Linked DNA regions of Schizosaccharomyces pombe. Changing the gene in region 1 together with any one later gene gives a genetic interaction. Each region holds a gene or a part of one and is shown on either strand. Other genes may lie near its edges.

The links. Genes that interact genetically often act in the same process or in processes that back each other up.
Region 2: mutations in ubp3 (region 1) and vph2 together harm fitness less than expected from each alone (positive genetic interaction), as found in Schizosaccharomyces pombe (2 studies listed by BioGRID).
Region 3: of ubp3 (region 1) and pyp1, changing one enhances a phenotype caused by changing the other (phenotypic enhancement), as found in Schizosaccharomyces pombe (2 studies listed by BioGRID, with this or other methods).

What each region holds. Positions count from the first base shown.
Region 1 is NC_003423.3:3,675,887-3,680,218, forward strand, and holds ubp3 (ubiquitin hydrolase Ubp3), read left to right. Parts: upstream 1-1,762; 5' UTR 1,763-1,826; coding exon 1,827-1,907; intron 1,908-1,945; coding exon 1,946-3,403; 3' UTR 3,404-3,775; downstream 3,776-4,332. Other genes in the region: RNA methyltransferase Nop2, read right to left, coding at 1-691; erd2 (HDEL receptor), read left to right, coding at 4,140-4,161, 4,199-4,324.
Region 2 is NC_003421.2:66,254-70,042, forward strand, and holds vph2 (V-ATPase assembly protein), read left to right. Parts: upstream 1-1,998; 5' UTR 1,999-2,277; coding exon 2,278-2,700; intron 2,701-2,763; coding exon 2,764-2,982; 3' UTR 2,983-3,226; downstream 3,227-3,789. Other genes in the region: RNA-binding protein Rnc1, read right to left, coding at 1-432; SPOM_SPCC757.11C (transporter), read right to left, coding at 3,388-3,789. UniProt on the Schizosaccharomyces pombe protein: Required for vacuolar ATPase assembly.
Region 3 is NC_003424.3:5,159,611-5,163,923, reverse strand, and holds pyp1 (protein tyrosine phosphatase Pyp1), read right to left. Parts: upstream 2,413-4,313; coding exon 760-2,412; 3' UTR 564-759; downstream 1-563. Other genes in the region: GTPase-activating protein Gyp51, read left to right, coding at 1-183. UniProt on the Schizosaccharomyces pombe protein: Plays a role in inhibiting the onset of mitosis. Dephosphorylates sty1/spc1 and wis1/spc2/sty2.

The sequences.
Region 1 (4,332 bases):
CACATATATCATTTAAGAGTTGATCAACATATTCAGAACGATTGCGTCCAGGTTCACACAAATTTTTAAAATCATTCAAAACACGGACTATTTCCTGTATCCGCAATTGAATTTGGCTCAAATCCTGTGGAAGAGTAGATATTGGTTGGCTATCGGTAAAACCATCAATAGGTGGAAGAACAGTAGGAGCCTCAGGATGTATGTTGGTATGCAATTCTTCCTCGGCTTCTTTTTCCTCTAATTCCGCTTCCTCATCAAGTTTGCGAGACATGGCTTCCATATTCGCAAGTTCCAAATCCTCTTCATCTCCAGAATCATCGCTAAACATAGGCTTAACCTCATGCTCTTCATCCGAATCAAAAACAGAATCTTCTTCCTCCCCTTCACATTCTTTAGCCTCATCATCGATAAACTCGTCAGCAAATGTTTGGGGTTCCTCGTCATGTTCCAAGTCTGATAAAGTTTCAGCCTCTTCAAATTCGTCTGCATCAATAAGATCTTTTTCATTCTCAGAATCCGAATTTTCAAACAAAGATTTCTTTTCTTCTGCTAATTGGCGTTTCCGAGAATTTTGTGGTTTTTCTTTTGAATGCTTTCTCTTTTTTGCATTTTCTGTCACTTTATGAGAAGAATTATGATTTTCCTCTAAAGTTGGGGGAATTCCTTGCTTAGACTTCTGTTTTCTTCCCATCTTTTATGGAAAATATGTGATGAAGTCCAAAAACGTTTATTTGGGCTGAGGAAAAATTTTGGCACTGGCATTCTTTCAGTCCAACCTCCACTATTCACATCGCTGAGTTTTGTTAAAAACTTTTACGAAAGATAAAGAACATTAAATTTTTTCAAGCAATACTACACTACGCTATGACATACTATGTTGCGTATCACTATATGCCATATGTTTAAATACTTAAGATCCGTTTATTGATACACGAGGATAAACTATCCGTCTATCTACATAGATGCAACGTTGATAGCAACTTATAGAAATATTATTAATAGAGCTACAGTTGAACTGAGGAACGAGGTACAGTTCCTAGCTGTATCGATGATCGATACTAATAGCTTCCTATAAACATTGTCAGTTAAAAATATACTGCATCCCGCTATATTGTAGATCGCAAGAGAAAATTGCCGCAGTTCTATGTATCGTTAAACAGATATTCAAACTGCATTGCTGAAACACAAAAAGATATACCGCATAGCAACAGCATAGTTAACATTATTAAAAATTCACGACTATTGTTATATTTATCTTTTTTAAAATTTGCTACGTACTTTACTGCTCAGCTTACTTAAAAAAGTCACTTAATTTACTCGTTCATCTTACTTCACCTCCTTGACAATTAATCATTTCAATTATGATCACATTAAGACTTGGTTAACGATTGAATTTGCTGCGGCGTAAAATGAGTGACAATATATATTCAAGACCTATATATAGTTCACACAACAGCAGAATATCGAATTTTAAAATTTACTATTTACTTTTCTCTTTTCGTATCACTTTTGTGGTTTAAGATACATATAGTGGTACTTAGATATGTAAATATACCGTATTCTCTAAAAATAACTAAAGATGGGCATGGACATTCAATAATTAATAATAAAAAAGAACAACTAAAAATAATTAGGAATTTGAGTTAGGCGGTCAAGTGTTTACAGTGGAATATCACCATAATACACTTGGTGGAATACGAAGAATTAACGAGGTATAGTGTATATTAAAAAAAGTTTTGGACAGTCTTTTGAAGAGCAAAGCGAACGACAGCCAACCATCAAATTAGTAAACAAGAGTTCAATCTTGCTAGAGTGTGCGTATTTCCATGCGAGATTTGACCTCTGCAACGGACAGCGCGTCTTTGGAAAGTGATTCGTCACGAAATCAATTTATTATCAATTCACTGGTATGTTTTATTAAAATTGTGATTATACTAACGTTTAGCTACCATGGTACTCATGCTCTGAACATGAATTTCCTCATCGAAAGGCTAGAAAAAGGCGTTCGCCTAAGAATTTAGATTGGTCGGTTTCGGTGCAAATGCCTCTGGTCACATCAAAGACGAAAGAGTCTGAAAAATCGCCTAAATCGTGGTCTGCAATTGCGAAAAAGCATGTTCAAGGAGACTCTCCTGTTAAAAAATCACATTCTGTTCCGGTACCGTCTGACAGGTCTGAGAAAAAAAGTTTCAATTCATCCCTTGGTGAATTGATCGAAACATATTCTCCATCCCTCGATGCACCCCGTCCTATACAGCCTCGGGGTTTTATAAATACCGGAAATATATGTTTTATGAACTCTATTTTACAGGCACTAATGTATTGTGTTCCATTTTATAATTTACTTAAGCAAATTAACCGGATGGTTCCGTATAATTTTGAACGTACAACACCTCTTATTGAATCGTTGACAATGCTTTCTAGGGATTTTAGAGAATATTCTGAGAAATTTGATTTACAAGGAGATTCTATTTTGCCAGAAGTGGTATATTCAGCTACTAAGGGGAATCCTCGATTTGAAATGTTGCAGACCGGCGAACAGGAGGATGCTGAGGAGTTTTTGAATTTGTTTCTTGACGAATTACATGAAGAATTCGTGCGTGAACGTAGACATTATTTATTAAAAAATGACGAAAGAAATCCAAAATCTGATATCAAAATTTCAAATGGTATCAAGTCTGGTTTAGATAGTTTTGATGATCAATCTTCTGTAGAAGCTAGTGGCTGGACCGAAGTTGGTAAAAATAAAAAGCCAGTAATTGCTAGATCTGCTACTGTTGAAAGGTCTCCTATAAGCCAAATTTTTGGTGGTCAGCTGCGCTCTACCTTAAGGGTTCCGAGTGCAAGAGATTCTGTTTTGTTAGAACCGTTTCAACCTCTGCAACTCGACATTCAAGCAGAAGATATACATTCAGTTATCGATGCGTTGGAGCATATGACCGCCCCTGAAATTTTACCGGAATGGCATTCGTCGAAAGGAAATGTTACTGCTACCAAGCAAATGTATATAGAGTCACTTCCTCCTGTCTTGATTCTTCACCTTAAACGATTCTTTTACGAAGCATCTGGCGGTACACAGAAAAATTATAAGCCTATTGCTTATCCTGCTCGCTTGAGTATTCCACAAAACGTTTTCAGCCCTTCTGTTCGTGGTTCCATACATCCGGAATATGATTTGAATGCAGTGGTTTATCATCACGGTACTTCTGCGTCTGGTGGTCATTATACTGTCGATGTTCAGCAACTTGATAAAAGCGGCTGGTTTCGGATTGATGATACACACATTCACCGCGTACCTATTCATGATGTTGAAAACTCCGAACTTTCCGCTGATCCGAGTCTTAGTAAACTTGGTCACGGCGATCGTGTGGCATACTTACTGTTTTACACACGACGCTCCTAGGTCATCTGGATTCCTTCCTCCCAAAAAAAATTAACCAATAAAAACCTTAATTGTTTTGTGTATTCTTCAATAAACAACTCAAGGATTTGAGCTAAAACTGGGGACTACACTTTTTTATAATTCTTTTTGTTTAAAACGTCGGTTAGAAAATTTTATCATATCTTTTTTACATAATTTTCTCAAAAAGGTTCAGCAATTTTTTATTATTTTTTATTTTATGAACTTTAGCTATTTAAGATTACGTTCCCTCTCAATCCCTTTAAACTAATCGGCTTTATAATACAACCTTTCTAGGAACTTACTCCGAATATACAAGTGAATTTTCATTGCAGCTTTAATGCAGTATATATTTTAAAACAGTACCAAAAGTAGGGTCAAGTGGTTTTTATTTTGCTGTCCTATTAGTAGTAGGTCAAGTCCAGCTTCATAATGTAATATTTGAAGTACTATGGCATCAAGTTTGTCACTTTAAAGCCCATTTCTATAATTTTCATGCAAGCTAAACTCCTTGTTTTAAATAAAAAGATTTGATCGTTTGAGAATCTTGATTCAGCGCATTCTAAAGTACGAATATAAATTACAGTTTTTTTGTTGCATTTATTAAACATTTGGCCCCCACTTGCATACCCCAATTATATCTCTGCGCAGTTAAGCCTATTGTCAACACCACTACCAAATTCTTTTTCCTAATACCTGGCGCGTTGAAATAGGCACTCCTTACTTTTATTAATTAATCATGACATTTTTCAGTGCACTGGGTATGATGAATTTCGTCAAAGTAAAGCTAATCATTAGGTGATATGGCCCATTTGGCTGCTATTTTCTTGCTTTTGCACCGAATGAAAAAATCGAAAACCTGTTCAGGACTATCTCTCAAATCCCATCTTTTGTTTCTGCTTGTTTATGTTACACGTTATTTGAGTATGTGC
Region 2 (3,789 bases), on another chromosome or scaffold:
ACTAATAGTTAAAACACGATCATGAACATTAGGAACAGCCTTGGTAACGCCGGCCTTGACATTTGTAGTGCTTCTGAGTTCGGCAACGTTTTTTCCAGCTTTACCAATAATGATACCAGCTTCACGAGTAGAAAGTAAGGCTCTCAAGGTAAGTTGTTGAGTAGCATAGGTGGCATCATCCATCGGTGGCTTGGCAGAGATGGGAGGCACTTGAGACGTTGGTTCGGGTTGGTTGGTCATGGACTGTTGAATAGTAGAACCGTTAGTAAGAGTCGATAGAGGTGTAGAGGGCTTTGGAGTAGGTATGGAAACTTTAGCAATGCCAGTAGCAGTAGAAGTGGTTTCGTCGGGTTCGTCTTGAAACGTTACGTCAAAAAAAGAGTTCTCTTTTTCCTCGATGTTTTTAGGAATGCTGAAGTGATTGTAAGCCATAGATGTCACTGGAATAGTATTGGTTAATTGAATAGGACACATATGCGTTTCTAGGAGGAGAGTAGAACCTTTTCTAAATTACTTCCTGAAAACTGATTAGTTCAAACCTGCAGGGATTTAGCGGAGATTAAAAAAAAAAAGGAAAACGGATTAGGCTCCTTCTAAGCTCTTATTGCAGTTTCTTATAAATTGAAATTGCAATCAATAGCTGTGATTACTTCGACAAAAATGAAGTAAACGACCAAGGAGAACGGAGTAGTGGTAAACGGGGTGTAGCAGTGACAAAGAGAAAATTTTCTGCAAGTAAGTCTTTTGGTGGGGAAATAACGAAGTTTGAAGAACGTATAGTAAAGTCGCACAATTTACTGATAGGAAGTGGTAGCGTAGCTTTACGCCTCAGTCGTTATATCTTTGGAAGTGAAAATGATGAGATTAATAAATGAGAAGAGCATTACAAGAATGGGTTTTTTAAATAATCGTAAATTTCCTAGCTAAAGCTAACGAATGCTGCCAAGTGAAATATCATTCTTTTAGTCAATATAGCAGGTATTAACGTAGTTGTTTTCGTTGGCCTTTGCTTCGGTATATAGGATAGCGTGGTTCAAGCGACTTTGTAAGATCAGATGAAAGATAAAGGGCAAAAACCTAAATAGCGTCCATGCATCAGTGGAACTTTCTTTCTTCAGATTACGTTATATGGTATAGTGAGCTTTGAAAATCGTTGAAAAAATTCGAATTTAATGGTGCAGAGGCAAAGACGATATGGACGTTCGGAAAAATGAAAACTATACTGGAGGAAGTTATCTTTATTTGATTCTGTCTTCGTAATTAAGCTTCCTTCAGCTTCGAACTTTTCATTTCCTAATTCGAATACCTATTTGTTCACCCGTACCTCTTTAGGTTTATATTTGTTCTTGCAAACTGTTCTGCGGCGATATGAATTTTGCTACCCCAAAGTTTACGTAAGCCAAGTTTGTCGTAAATAAATTCGCAAAAAAAAGTACTTTGGATGGTGCAACATGGAAGAATTGAACGCCGTTGAAACGCTGGTATTTTTGAACATGAAGTATCTCAGTATTCAACCCAAAGTCATAAAAATTCTTGAACCTTTAGCTTTCCAAGCGCTGAATGAGCATACTGGGACACATTTTGAAACCATAGACGCAAGTAATAATTGCGTAAGTTATATAAAACTCATAGAGCCAACAAAGCTAGTAGCATTTACTTCTTAATATTATATTGAAATTCCAATAAATAATCTTTGAATATCGTTTGTATGAAATACCCGAGAGCAATTGCGGCGCTAAATTAAACTGAATGTTCAGTTACCAAGATTTATGTCACTTCATAGAAAGATATAATATCACAGTAGCGTGTACCATTCTTCTATACCTCACTGAACGAGGAAGTCTACAATTCTGCTTGGCCTAGCACAGTGTTAGCGAGGGTGAAGAATAAAATTATGATGCTAATTACCAAAACGGTGATTTCAAAAAAAGTTGAGGAACTTTCATATTTTCATTTTTTGCCTCTTATAGGACGCTATGTATTACGTTGCGTAACTTTGACTTTTGCAAATACTTGGATGTACCACTGTCTCCATGTTTGTTTGTTGGTCAATATAAAACGTAGTATTAGACATTAAAATATTGGTTTAATTATTTCATTTAGAAAACTCAATAGAAATTTAGCAAATATCGTCAACCAACCTAGATTGATCCTGTTTCACGCAATTCGGACTATATGAATCGTTTTTGATTGCTTTCTAGACTTCATAGCATTATTACTTACCCTTCTACTTTTTTAATACCTTCGAAATTGTCAAATTGACTCATTATTGCAAAAATGCTGTACAGGCTCTCCGAAAAACAGCAGACAGACTTACGGTGTAATAAATTAACTGTCGATGGATTTGAGCTGGTAAAAATGTTAAAGGAATTACGATTACATAACAGGAATATCAATTTTTTGGAATTTCTTCGAGGTGTACAGATTGTGCCGAGCGACAGTGTCTTCTTGGGCGAAATTGATGAAAACAGCCATACTCAAGACAATACAACTACTTCTATCTTAAAGGAGAAAGAGCTATATGATGGTATTCCTCTGCTTCCATCAATGGCAGGCGTATCCATGGACCCTGAGAGAGAAAAAAAATCAGAGTTACGACTAATGAAAAACCAAATCAGCGCTATAATCAATATACTCTTCACAGTAGTAGGAACGGTGACCGCTGTTTGGTACTGCACTTCATCTTTATCTATTGAAAAGGTATGAATTAAAAACTTTCGTTTTGTTCCTGGGAGACCTTTGTATTGACTTAATATTATTTAGAAAATTGCGCTATGTGCGTTTTCAGCAATCTTGGTTCTAGTAGCAGATACGTTTCTTTATGTCCGCTATCTATCTGCACAACCCGTACGAACTTCAAAGAATCATACTCGACAAATAATATATACATGGACAACAAATGACCCTGTTCTACAGTCAAATGAGCAGCTAGCTATAGAACTGGGAGCCATTCCATCTTTGAAGGAAAAAAAGAACCAATAATTATATTCTTAATTTTTAGATGTTTTATTAACGAAAGTACCTTTGATGTTTTCCTGTAGATGATTTTTATAGGTTGTTTGTCTAATTGATCATAATGGCATACCTCTCTATGTGTTAATTGAAGGGCAGGCACCTATGGGCACACTATAGATAAAAAATAAAAAGTATTTAAGATAAAAAATTCGAACTCATTTGGCTTTTAACGTATATTTCATCAATTAATTTCATTATAATTAAAGATTTAGCAACATTATTTCAATTTAATTAGCCATTTGGTATTAGATTTATTTGTAAGGAACACAACTTACAAATTTATAAATAAACAACAAATCAACCCCCCCTTGTAAAAAAATTAAAAAAAAAAAAAAAAATAGAGAGCAACCTAACCATTGAGTTACCAGTGAATTATGCAAGGCGCAACTTGACCTTAAGTTTCTTCCATATAATCAATAGTGCAAGCACAGACATAACGTTTAATATTAAGCATACCGCAAAAAAAACAACAGGTGAGAACGAGCGAAATGCACCGCCAAAGATAGCACCAACTGTGTCGGATAAGGAAATTGATATTTGCACAGCGACGTTACCTATCAGGTGGTACTTAGGATGTAAAACCTTTGTCAATAAAGAGACCGAAGGGGAATTAGCAATAGAAGATCCAAAAAAAACAAGGGTGTAAATAATAAAGTAAGGTTGTACGAATTCCTTGCCTGTATAGTGAATAGTTATATGAATAACCATGCATACGATGTTTAAACAACAACCCAACAATATGATATCTCTGTCAGTCAAGTAACGCGTCAAATA
Region 3 (4,313 bases), on another chromosome or scaffold:
ATGGAAGCAATCATTGCTGAGAATTTAGAAATTATGGTTGAAAGTCAGTCTCTCGAAGATGAAATCTTTAGAAAAGAAAAGCAGCTTGCTGAAACTAAAGTTAACTTGGCCGTTTTAGACGAGGACCATATGATGGCTTTACAAAAATGGAGTCAGCTTATGAACCGCATAAAGACAAAGTGAATATAAAAGCATTCTAGGTACTATTGGAATATCTGCATCCTAATGATTGCCATAATAATTTATTTATATTGAGTTACGTTTAATGTGTATTATAAAAAATCTTTGTTCCTGCAAGTTTGTCTTACTTAAAAACATACAAACGATAGTTCAAATGAATGTATATTTAATGAATCGTCTCACCTTTAATCAGTGAAGAAAGAATTCTATTGCTCTTGATCACGACCACTTCGCTTAAACTCTATATTTCTGCCTAAAGAAATCGAGTAATAAATTTTAAAAAGCATCTGAAAATAATACAAGGTTATTATCAGTTTGATGACTTTATCTTGTACAAAAAATAGGTTTACAAAGTTCTAAAAAGAAAATTTAAGAGAAAAAAAGATATCATTAAAAAGCCTAGTTCTCAAATATACTTTTTGAAATAAAAGACAACGTGATTAAAGCAACTGAATTTCACAAACATTGACAGTAAATTCAAATGCAAATGTAAAAAAAAAGACACTTTACAAGTACAAGAAATAAAGGAATCGATTAAAACACGAATATATATTGCCAAGAAAAATCCAGTCAAAAATTTCATGTTAAAACCGGGAAATGAACTTGAGATTTTTGCAAAGAATCGATCAAGTCATACACATATTTAAATTGTGTGAAGGTTTGAACCATCTTCATCCGCTGCTTTCGGATATGATCAACCAACTGGAAAACGACGTCTGAAGAATCGGCGACAGAAGGATTGAAACCAGAAAGTTTGCTTTCTGGGAAGCGTAGGATCGTATCTAGTACAATAAAGGTTCCTGTCCGACCAACACCGGCAGAGCAGTGCACAATAGTATTTCCTGATCCGTGAGAGTTGTTCACATATTTTAAGAACTCAACCATAGATTTCACGTTTTCAGGAGAATTACAATCAGACCAATTAGGATATTGATAGTGATGTACTTTTTTAACTGAAGGAAAATTGGCATTCTGAATTTCAAACTTTCGCAAAATGAATCGAGAATTATCGACATTTTCCTCCGAAATTTGTTTGACACAGTAATCTCCATACACTTGTTTATCTCCAATACCATTACTTGGCCAATATGCAGTACACATTTCGCGGCCAGCCTCGAACAATGAACCAAGCATAACAATAGTGCCTATATTCTCCACATTGTCCCATACCATGTGCCAGAAATCGCTAATAGAACGAGAAATAGAACCTTGGCAAGCGATGTAATTTGAAGTTTCAGTTTTGATAAAGGAAGCATTGATATAATCGAGCTCTGAAGGGCTAGTTCTTTTCAAATGCACACGAGTACAATTGTAAGGAACAATGTCGGTATATCTGTTTTTCTTATACGATGTATTACTCAATGAATCAACGGTACTCCACTGAGAATTACGATCCGAACAAGAAACTAGACGTTGATGCTCCAATGATTGCAGGCGCAAGAACTTCTGGTAGAGGGTCGCAACATCTGGATTGGTAAAAGCATCGGGCACACTGTGTAAGCAGGGTGTCTGGACTGTAGCACTGCCAAATGGAGAAGATTTGTTGTCCTTGTTCTCAGGTAGAGGACAGAAAAAGTTATTTAAAGACAAACCGGCAACATTAGGAGTGGGAGGAGGACGAGAGAAGTAATCGGAGCCTTCGCTGGACAAAGAGATAGGAGCAGTTTGAGCAGCAGAGTAAGACAATCTGGGGCGAGCGCTAGGCAAAGCACCTAATTTACTTTTTACAGGAGAGTTGTCAATCACAGATGGATACTTGCCCGAGACTTTCGAATAGTCTAAATCTAAAATACCGAAGTCACCAGAATAGGATTCTTTTCTAAATTTTTCACCAATTACCTCAGCGTTCGTTACGTAGTTAGCAATCCAAGCAGGAACACAAACAAGAATGGATGAAAACTCTTGCCAGTTTTGAAAATCTCTCTTGTCGTCGACGTCGTGAAGATTGCTGATGATACGCGCGACCGAAAAGGCAGGACGCTTAATTAAGGTTGCAGGTAAAGAAAGATTGACGGAGCCCTTAATTCTAGATTTGGAAAACTCGGATACGGGACGAAGGTCGATGATCAATGTGTCATCCTTCCAAGCTTCCTTGTCGAGATATTCTTGGAGGCAAGAAGCATGAACAGCATACTTACTCGTTGCTACACCCCGCTGAGGAGGTAAAGCAATACATGAACCCGAAGGAGCAATTGTAAAAGTAGACGATTTTGAACCGTTTGAAAAATTCATCGTGGTTTTTTAGATGAATGTTTTGTATTAAGAATATTTGGCCTTAAAAAAGAAGCAGAGATGATTAAAAAAAAAAGTAAAAAAGTAAAAAAAAATTCAGACTTCTTAAATAAAATACAAATATTGGATAGCACAAGTTTTGAAGGCCGAAAGCAAAATAATGAATGGATAGGAAATATCAAAATTACGGAAAATCCAGGGTTCTAAAAAGGAAAGAATTAACGCAAAATTTGGCAATAAAATTAGTAAAATATAGAAGGAAACAAGAGAAGATTCAAATCAAGTCTGAGATGAAAAAAGTTTTTCAATTCAAACTTTCTGCAGAAAATAAAGATGGAAGAGTTTTAGAGGGGATGAGGAGTATCCAATTCAAAGAATGGGTTTGAATCAGTACTATGCAAATATGAGAATAAAAAGGGGGAATCCTTAAAAATTAACGGATTAATGAATCGTCACTTCAAAGGTCAAGCGATTTTAAGAGGAAAATAAAAATACTGCTTGTGAGTGCACAGTGCAAGATTGCAAAAAGCAACACTATTTAAGAAATTATTTCGTATTTAGTAGAAAATGCAAAAAGGTAGGGCACACGCACGAAAACAGTAACCAGACTGAACAAAAATATAAGATAGAGGGTATAAGAAATATTATAAGTTGCAGTTTGTCAAAGTGCAGAAAAGTATACAAGTAGGAGATCGAGGAACGAAAAGAGGTAGAGGCTAATTGAAATGTAATGACAATGGAATAATTTTCCTACAAAACAGAAAACCCAATTTAAAAGTCAGAAGCGTATTCAAAGCTAAAGGGGGGAACCAAAAGCACGTTGATGCAACAAACTAGCAAAAACGTAAGGTCAACTAAGGATGAAAATTACAGAGCACACGTCTGTAAATAAACCAAATGAATGGTGAATACTTAGACAGATGAGTTCAGAAAAAAAGAAACAGAACTATTCAGAATGCAGAACCCCACAAAAAAAACAATAGACAAGTAACCACCAAGACCCCAAAGTGAAGTGAAAACAAACGGTAAAGCAATGAAGAAAATGGGAAAAAAATTCAAAACTTAATCCGAAAAACTCAAGGGAAAGGAATATATGAGCTCTTCAAAGGTTCAAAAAAAGCGATACTACACTGTGGAAAGAAACCCAAGAGTACACCTTTTTGAGAAAAGACAAAGAAAATGATGAAACGAGAAATAGGATAACTAGAAAAGGAGAATTCCGAAAATATGAAAATATCAACGAAAAGGAAACAAGAAAAAAAAAGAGGGAGGTATAAAAAAAATGTAAAAGGAGAAAAATCTAACCCAATTGAGAGAAAGAAGTGGTGAAACAAAAGTTGAGAAAAGTTGAAGAAATTAACTATTTTGCATCGTACGGGATAAAAAAATGAAGCAAATAGAAAAAGCACGGCGATTCAACGATATATCTGGTGCTCTTTTATGGAAGGAAAAAAGACTAGTTCTTCCTATTTATTCACTTTGAGTTAAAGTTTAGAAAAGAAAAGATGGGCGCAGGTAATGAAACAAACGACTTTTAAAAGCTACGTATAGCGGTGGAGAGACAACAGAGAGAACTGTTGACGAGATGAAGGATGGAGGAAAAAATCTAAGAAAGAGAATTAAACGCACTAAACGTCAACGAAATCAAGTCTAACGATTTTTGATTTTTACCAAACGATCAGAGCAAGGACTGAGCGACGAACCAAGGTAAAATTTTTCATACGATCCAACAAAACGACGATGAAAATAAGATCCAATCTTATACTTTACCCAACGTTTAAACAGGAAACCCAAAAGATAAAAAGGATTGGGAGCAAGTAAAGGGTTAAGAGGAGGAAGGGAGAGGACGAGCGAGCGATATGTAGAAAGAGAAGAAGAAGTAGAAATAGGTATATCTTGGA